Caenorhabditis elegans: one gene and its partner. The protein of the gene in region 1 interacts with the protein of each later gene in a biochemical or structural test. Each region holds a gene or a part of one and is shown in the gene's direction. Other genes may lie near its edges. The genes, in order: rhi-1 and cdc-42.

The links.
Region 2: of the proteins of rhi-1 (region 1) and cdc-42, one has a biochemical effect on the other in vitro, tested with the Caenorhabditis elegans proteins (one study listed by BioGRID).

What each region holds. Positions count from the first base shown.
Region 1 is NC_003284.9:4,506,614-4,511,551, forward strand, and holds rhi-1 (putative rho GDP-dissociation inhibitor), read left to right. Parts: upstream 1-1,895; 5' UTR 1,896-1,902; coding exon 1,903-1,998; intron 1,999-3,609; coding exon 3,610-3,863; intron 3,864-3,914; coding exon 3,915-4,140; 3' UTR 4,141-4,332; downstream 4,333-4,938. UniProt on the Caenorhabditis elegans protein: Regulates the GDP/GTP exchange reaction of the Rho proteins by inhibiting the dissociation of GDP from them, and the subsequent binding of GTP to them.
Region 2 is NC_003280.10:7,614,599-7,619,052, forward strand, and holds cdc-42 (Cell division control protein 42 homolog), read left to right. Parts: upstream 1-1,853; 5' UTR 1,854-1,858; coding exon 1,859-1,981; intron 1,982-2,034; coding exon 2,035-2,199; intron 2,200-2,249; coding exon 2,250-2,447; intron 2,448-2,792; coding exon 2,793-2,882; 3' UTR 2,883-3,647; downstream 3,648-4,454. Other genes in the region: R07G3.8 (CYRIA/CYRIB Rac1 binding domain-containing protein), read right to left, coding at 3,916-4,011.

The sequences.
Region 1 (4,938 bases):
ATTCCTCTCGGTTGAACAAACTTTTTGCTCTCCCCAAAATAATGTTCTTTTTTCGACTTTCAGTGGTACAATGGTTGGGTGGCCTTAAACATTGCATTTTCTTAATTGAAAAGTTACTGGCAAATATATGTTCCTAATAACATTAGAGATCTTCAAATATTTGTTTCCCATTAGTAACCACCTCAATTTTATTTCCGAGGTGTGGAAATAACTTGTTTAGGTGTGGAACTGAATTGTTTTAAAGTTTTAATTTTCGAAAATATAATTATTTTGTGCCACACTATATCTGTGTTAAAATTCACAACACTTCCAATTTTACGTTTTTGAATTAGTCCAATTCTTAGGCTTTTTGATTTTCTCTCTCTCTCTCTCTCTTTCCCAGCCAAAAACTAACCGCGTTCAAATACTTTAAACAAACGAGAACTGTATTTTCTCGCACTGCTTTTGCTTCACTTGCTCCTCGCAATCAGTGCACAGCGGTGCCCTAGAATGCCCGATTTTGACATTTTTACCTTCTCGTCCTCCTCCACCACCATCATCGCCCACCATCAGCGATTTCCTTGCGCCACTCCCTCGACGATTCGGTTTTCCACAAACATTTTTCCACGCACACACACACACACACAAGTTTATGTGTGTGTGTGAGTGTGAGTGTGTTTCATTTGTGTCACTCACTCTACTTTTTTCTCTCTCATTTCACTATCCACCCATACTCGAACTGTATTTATTTGTCTGTTGTTTGTGACTCTCTCTCTTAGTGGGCGAGAAGATTCCTAATACTTGACATGATATGCGTTATTTCTTTAACTCGCTCTTCAATCTATCAATTGTTCATTTAAAGTTTGAAATTTATCATTCTGTTTAATTTCTAATGTTTTCGATTACTCAGCAGCACGACTTCCTTTCTTGTTCTTGGGCAAGCAACATGATGAGTCATTTGTTAAATTCCCAGAGTAACGAATCAATTGATAAGGGAAGACTATTTTGCTTGACGTTGCATTTGTTCTACTTCTCATCACTTGAATTTTTGGCTCCTCCAGTATGTCATATGTTTCTACAATGACTGATTTAAGGCAACTTGTTTTTTTGTTTTCTTTCGTCAATTTTCGACAATACGCATATGCTTAAAGGGTCAAAAAGGTCAGTCAAAAAGTGGCATAAGTTTTTGCCACTTTCTGAAAAATAGAACTGTTCAAATCAGAAACGACATTCAAAAAATTGGTGAGAACTGAGTTTTCACTGGTTTTTGATTCGAAATAAAAAAAATTTCCAAATTATTTTGAATAGTTTTATTTTAATTTTTTAGTGATTTTAGCATCATTTTAGTATTTTTCCCATATATCCAGAAATTGGATTTTTCCATCTTGTACATGGAAACAAATGATATAGGCGACGCCAGCAAAAAAAAAAAAAGAAATCGCATCAGAAGAAAGCTTCACAAATCTGTTTTACCAACAATTTGTCTTGAAGAAGAAGAGAAAAAGTAGGCGGAGACGAAAAACCACACAGGAGTAGAAAAAGACGGTGGGATAGATAACAAATTGACATTGTTCAACCATTTCGCCCTCCTCTCCGTGTGTTTGTCTAATTCTTCTTGTCTCGAACGAGGTTGTTCGGTTTGATTATGAAATTTCTTTTCCGGTATTTTTCCAGTTGCCCATTTGCCCCATTATTTTTTTTGGACGTTTTCTCTTTTTGTCGCAAGATTTTGGTTTCGACCGTTCGAGTCTTTGCCCTCAGAATCGTTTTTGTCGTAGGCACTCATTTTTGGCCGCATTTTTATTCGCATTTCTTTAAGTCGTTCATAATTGCAATTCTTCGATTCTTGGGTTTTCGAATATTCTGGTTCTTTCCCTTCTTCTTTTTTCTGACAGCGCTTACCCCCCATTTTTCAGCGGAATTATGTCTGACCACGAGAACACTGGTGAAAACACCTCCGAATATCAGTACAAGCAACCACCACAAAAGAGCATCGACGAGCTTCTCAATGCTGACAAGGTTTGTTAAATTTATTTTTAACAAAAAAAATTGAACATTTTGCGAAATTGCTAATGGATGTGGATTGATGAATCTGATCACAAGACAGCTTTGGCCTTCGATCTATTAATAAAAAGTAGTTAATTGAAACAAAGAAAGCCGAGCCAAGCTACGTTCAAAACACAAAATCCTTGCATTCAGGCTACAGTGTTCTGCGAGTTTTAGGTTTGATAATTGTAAAATAGAATCAAAAGGTAGTGCAACGGGCGGCAATTCACCCCGGCAAACTCGTTTTGGTATGACAATCTAATATTTTTAAGTAAATGCTGAAATATAGAAAATATTTTATTTCTTTGAAAATGAAATTTACTTTTGTAGAAAAACTTAACAAGATGTTGAAAACTACCTGAAACTTGTTATTAGTAGAAAGAACTGCCGTTAAAATGTTATCGGCACAACACTAATATCACCTCTTTCTGATTGTTGTGTCAAAGTTTTCTTTTGAGAATGTATATAGAAATATGTGTATTTTCCAAAAACAACGATAGCTTTGATAAGTTTCTCAAAAACTGTCTCATAATCTGTATATTCCTCCTTGAGATAGTTTTTGAACACTTTCCCAAAACTTTTCATACAAAGGAGAGTTATTTTTGGAAAATGCATATATTCGTTACTAGGGGTGGCAAGAGTGCGACCTAGGTCGCTAGGTCGCTGTTTTCATTTAGGTCGCATCGCGACCTAGGTCGCATTGCGACCTGCGACCTAGCGACCTGGGTCGCATTGCGACTTGCGACCTAGCGACCTAGGTCGCATTGCGACCTGCGACCTAGCGACCTAGGTCGCTTTACGACCTGCGACCTAGCGACCTGGGTCGCATCGCGACCTGGGTCGCATCGCGACCTGCGACCTAGCGACCTAGGTCGCTTTGCGACCTGAAGTACTGACATTTTTTATACTAACAAATTGCTACAAATCATTTATTTTACATTGTTTTCGATTTCTTATCCATAAGACACCTTGTCGAAAAAAGTTAGAACAGCCGACATCCGCCGGATTTTCTGCTTTTTTCTACGTTTTTAATTCGAAAAGTGGAAAATGAAATTTTAGAAACAACAAAAACCACAAAAACGTGAACTTTTTGAAACAATTTGCTGAAATGCATGGTTTTATTTGTAGAAATGAATTCTTTGTTCCGTACTTTTGAAAAAAAACTACGCATAAACTTATAAAATCTTAATAGAGAAAATGTTAGTGGAATACACATATTCTGCAATCTTTAGTTTTCGAGTTATACGGATTTTAACAACTCAAGTGAATCAAAACCGAAAGAGAACAAAATGTCGGTAATTCAGGTCGCAATGCGACCTAGGTCGCTAGGTCGCAGGTCGCAATGCGACCTAGGTCGCGATGCGACCTAACCCTCTAGGTCGCAGGTCGACCTAGGTCGACCTATAGCCACCCCTATTTGTTACATTTCTATACAAATTTCCGAGCGAAAAACTTCAACATAACAATGAGAAAAAGGGCATTTTGTGAATTTTCCTAATGTGCCACAATTTTGGTCTCTATTAACCCTAATAAACTTTTATAAAAATCCAATGACAATCACATTTTAGTATGAAATTTTTACAGGAGGACGAGTCTCTAAAAGTGTACAAAGCCAAACTTCTCGGCCAAGGAACAGTCATTGTCGACGAGAAGAACCCACTCCGCGTGATTGTCCGATCCGTCGAGCTGCTCATTAATGGTAAAACTGCGCAATCATTTGACTTATCGGATCCAGCAAAACTTGTCAACTCTGACTTGTCTGTTTCCATCAAAGAAGGTTCCAATTACCGGTTAAGCTTTGCTTTCCATGTGCAACGCGAAATTACGTCCGGATTGCAGTTAGTTTTTTTGTGTGTTTAATCTTAACTTAAAATAATAAATTGTTTCAGCTACAAACATAAGGTGAAACGATCCGGTATCACTGTGGAGAATGAGAAGTACATGATGGGAAGCTACGCGCCAAAACTTGAGATTCAGGAGTACAAATCACCAAACGAAGAAGCTCCGTCTGGAATGATGCATCGTGGAAAGTACAAGGTGTACTCGAAAATTACCGACGATGACAACAATGTGTATCTTGACTGGCAATGGACCCTTCACATTACCAAGGAGTAGAATAATTTTCCGCCTTTACTGAACCTCATATTTATATTCAAATTCTCAATGAAAATGACTTTTTTCTCCAATTTACCGCCCACCCCAAATGTTTTCCTTGTTTTATGGTTATTATTGATTTTGATGCACTAGTTGTGTTGTGTGATGCCTCTCCCCTTTCCCCGCCAAATTGAAATGATATATAAAGTGATATTTCATAATCATTTAAAACAAAGTGTACTGTTTTGTGAAACGTTGGAAACTAACCAAAAAACACTAACTTGCTGCGTTTCCAAAAACTTAAGATCCTAATACGCATTTACACGTTGTTCCGCAATATTCACGTGGTTTCAGCTGGGCCGGAACATTGTATTAATTTCAGAATTAGAGATTTTATTTTGATACAATAAGAATTGAACTACAAAACGTTACAACTTTGAAAATTTAAAAGAGTACTAACGGTTTGGAAGTTTTGAACGTATAAACCCAAAATGTGTTAAAATAAATTAATTTCGTAATAAAAAGTCAAAAAAATTTGAATAGACTTTTCTCACAAAAATCCAAACTTAAAAAAAAATTTACCAGAAACTTTGTAGCAAATTTTCAGATCTTTTTACTGAATACCTAAGTATTTTTGGTACTCGTGTGTTACCTAAAATTACTCTGTAGTTCTAACTTTCAAAATTACTATGTAGTTCTAACTTTTAAAGTTACTTTAAGATTAGTAAATTGAATTCGTGCAAAATGTTTGAAAATTGATTTTCAAGACATTAAATGATGATCACCATTACAAAAATCTTTGCAAAAACTTACTGCCGT
Region 2 (4,454 bases), on another chromosome or scaffold:
GCGGGAATGTGTTCAGAATGAATACAGAAAAAGAGCTGATGACGTTGTAAACGAAATTCATGAACGAAAAGCAGGCACATCTCGCGCGGAAAAGGGAGGAGACGCGGCAGGGAACCGGATTGGGGGACTATTGATCGAACAATAAGGAAGAAGAGAAGTACGCGCCGTCGGTTATCGAAACTCCAAATTTTTCTTCTTTTAATTGGGAAAAGTATTACGAACATGTAATTTCATGGAATTCACACGGTTTACAATGAAGTTATCAAGAGAAAATATGCAATTCTAAAAATTTAGGGCAGATTGAATCGTCGATTGGATTGAAGTGAAAGAAGAGAAATAGAAATTTCGCGAGTGAGATTCAATCGGAGCATTGTTAGAATTCTATCTAGAAATGTAAGACAAAAAATACGAAATAGCATATTGAAATATAAAACCTTAAAATTAAAAAGAAGGCAATTTTAAAATTAATTTTACGAAATACAATTGAGAAAAAATGGAAAACACAACGGATTCAATCGAAGTTAATATTCTAGAGATGGTATTTATAAATTGAGGACAAATATTCTGCACTAGGAGAAACAAGAAAAAAGAAAGAAGTTTCTGGCTGGCAATCGTTCGCACAGGAAAAATAAAAAACTAAAATGGCCGCCCGTCTGTTAGCATGGAACGGGTTACGCTAGTTATAGACTAAGCTTACATACAAAATATGTATGTATAATATCCTCACAGCGTAACAAAGTGAGATATAGTTTAAATTCTAGATGATGACTTTAGAAATCCTATTTGGTGGTTTTACGAAGTTTACAGCGTCATTTCTAGACTGAAACTGACCAGTCTGGGATATCATTTGTCTAATCAAGTACTCTATCTAGATAACTGACCGATCTAATAAGTTTTCACGAGTTACGGGACCTAAATTTGAATCCAATAATTCGGTGACGACTGGCGACCCTATGTTAGATGTAGTGATGTCTCCATTCTCTCAATACTCTCTCGTCTTTTTCTCTGCGTATCTCACCACTAGCGTAGTCTATGAGTGCGAGCGGCCGCGTCGCGGTCGTCTTTAGGCTCGCCGACAAACTGTCCACCATCTTCTTTTTTTCCTTTTTTCGCCGTGTTCAACAAAGCTCATTCACGCTTTTCGTTGTTTTACAGGCTTTTATTGTTTTTTCTAATTATTGATTATTCATTTATAAGAGCAGAATTAATCAATAAACGTAGGTAGACGATCGAAGTATCCTATCAGTTTTTAATTTGATAAATTTTCTCGAAAGGAGCAATCATGTTTTAAATTATTTAAAAAATGGTCCGCTTAAGTTTGTCTGACTGTTTAACAATTATTGAAATCATTTTCGTGACATTTTATTGAACATTGCTTCCAAATTCCCCTAACATAATCCTGACTGAGATGTTCCAGTGTTTCATGTCGAATTATTCCTATTTTTGTACCTTTTCTTAAATATAACTAGTTTCAAATATATGCAAGTTGTTTGGTACGGAAAACCGATTCAAACTTCCGACCAGTTACCGATGAATCATTGCCAAAATTCCTCATCTAAAGAATTATACGCACAAGTTGTTTTGGCCATTTTGCCTTATTTCTTCATCGTTTATTAAGGCGTTTACCGTTTTTTTTTCTTGCTCTTTCTTCGATAATTATTGCTCCCAATGGTAAAGAAACGCTCGTGGCATTTCGAAAGAGACTATTGATTTTCTGCCTGATGTTTCGCAATTCGTTTTCATTCTCTAGTTATCTCTCCTTTTAAAACGTGTGCGTGCACATTTATGTGACTCATCCGTATTTTTCACTATAAAGACGTAATTTTAATACTTTTATTCATTTTTTTTTTCAGGCGAAATGCAGACGATCAAGTGCGTCGTCGTTGGAGATGGAGCTGTCGGTAAAACTTGTCTCCTGATCAGCTATACCACAAACAAGTTTCCTTCTGAGTATGTGCCGACAGTCTTCGACAATTACGCCGTAAGTTTAAGAAAAAAAAATTATTTTATATAAAAATAATTTCCGAATTTCAGGTCACAGTAATGATCGGTGGCGAGCCATACACATTAGGATTGTTTGATACTGCTGGACAGGAAGATTACGATCGATTAAGGCCTCTATCGTATCCACAGACCGACGTGTTTCTTGTTTGCTTCTCCGTGGTTGCTCCAGCTTCATTCGAGAATGTCCGAGAAAAAGTAAGAAATATTGTTCTCGAATTTATTCTATATATCTGAAATTGTTTTAGTGGGTGCCTGAAATTTCGCATCATTGCTCAAAGACCCCATTCTTGTTAGTTGGTACTCAAGTCGATCTCAGGGATGATCCAGGAATGCTCGAGAAACTGGCAAAAAACAAGCAGAAACCAGTGTCAACGGATGTTGGAGAGAAGTTGGCAAAGGAATTGAAAGCAGTGAAATACGTTGAATGCTCAGCGTTGACGCAGGTGAGTCATTCTTTCCAAAATAGTCATTGATAATATTGAAACATTAAAATAAAATATCATCCAATCCACGAAACCTAATCAAATAATAAATTTTTAAATATTAAAACGAGGCTCTTGTGGAAATACGTGACACTTTAAAATATAAATATCACTTTTCAGTTAAATTGTTGCTTTATATTTAGCAACGGTCATGTTTTCGGGAAAAACGAACAACCAGAATTCTGTTTTTATTGTGCAAAAAATTATCTCCTGAAATGCTCTATATTCCGGCTGAAAATACCATAGTTTTCATATTATGTTGATTAAAAACGCTTGTATATTGAAGTTTAAATAGTTTATTTTCAGAAGGGACTGAAAAATGTATTCGACGAAGCCATTCTGGCCGCTCTCGACCCACCACAACAGGAGAAGAAGAAGAAGTGCAATATTCTCTAGGAACGTCTTCCTTGTCTCCATGTTTTCCTCTGTTTTGTGACTGTGTTTTTCTTTCTATGTCCAAATTTTCTTAGCCCCCGACTTCCACTCTTCTCATACTTCTAAATTTCCCTGAAAAATGCCAAACGAGAAGCGGTTGCTGTTATTTTTGACAGCATCATAGAAGATGATTTTCTTCAATTCGTCTCCTGTAACTTATCCAGTAGAATCTCGATGAGCATGATTCCAGAATTTTTTAATTGTTTCGTATAGAATTTCGATAAGCAGGGCAGTTTATAGTTTCTCATCTGTTTTCGAATTTTTATCGAATAATCCCCTCGAAAATTTTTAAAAGTTCATCCAAATTAACTATCATTCTTTTCAATGACACCTCCTCTTTAACATTTTCGTCGTCGTTTTTATTTTCTTTTTTATCCCAAAACGTGTTTATAGTCCGGATACACCGTTACGTAATGCGCCTTCTCCTTTCCCATGGTTCTTTTTATAATTATATAATAGGTGTTGTATAGCACAACCAACTACATCCCGAGTCGCTTGTTTCTTCATTTGCTGCTCAAAAATACCGACCAGTTTGTTTTTCTTCTTTCCTTTTTTTTGTGCTTTTCTGCCTTCACACATCCATTTCCCATTTTAAACTGTTTTCTCATCCACTACGTTTTGTGTCTCCCTCCTCCTTTCTCCAGAACAACTCTGTATTTTAATTTTTCTACATATTGTTGTTATATATTTGCGATCCAAAACAATAAAGGTGTGATATAAAAAATTAAGATGTTTATAAAAGATCTTGAAAAGTATACAAGTGGGTGTTGTAGAAAAAGAAGAACCGGAACCATAAGGCATTGAGAAAAATAATTAATGAGTGGGTGAATTGGAACGAAAAATAATTATTATCACTGACAAAAAGTACTGTTTGACGAGGAGAGGAACATAATCACCGTGTATGAGGAAATGGGCTTCAACTAGAAACGATAAGAGAACATAAAATAGAGGCAAGGATGACTAGAATTAATGAACAAATTGACAAAAAATGAAATTATTTCACTTCAATCAAATGACGAAGAGATTTTGGAGTACTTGAATCATTATAATGTTTTGTTGTGAAACGAAGACCAGCAAGTAGACAATCAGACTGAAAATAAAACAATTAATATGGGTTGCTCAATTTTATTCTAATTTTTATTATGGAAGCGCAGAAAAATGCTCATTTTGAAAGCGCGTTTGCAATCGCGCTTTACGGACAAACTGTTGGGTCTCGTTAGGTATTCGCAGAAAACTAGAAATTCGAACATGTTCAAACATTTTTCGTCTGCTTTAAATGCTTTCCGCTATTCTTTTAAATTAATTTCAGTCCGAAATTGATGAATTAAAATTTATAAACGAAAAAAAAATTCGATTTTCATTGTCACATGCATTTTTAAAATAATAATTTTGAAACAAAAATCATTAAAAACAACTTCAAATTGTATGAATTAATGCTGTCAATTCCTAACGAGACTCATAGTTTGGCGTTGGAGCGAGCTTGCCCCTTCATTTCATTTTTCTGCGTCCCCATAATGTTTGGAAAACGATATA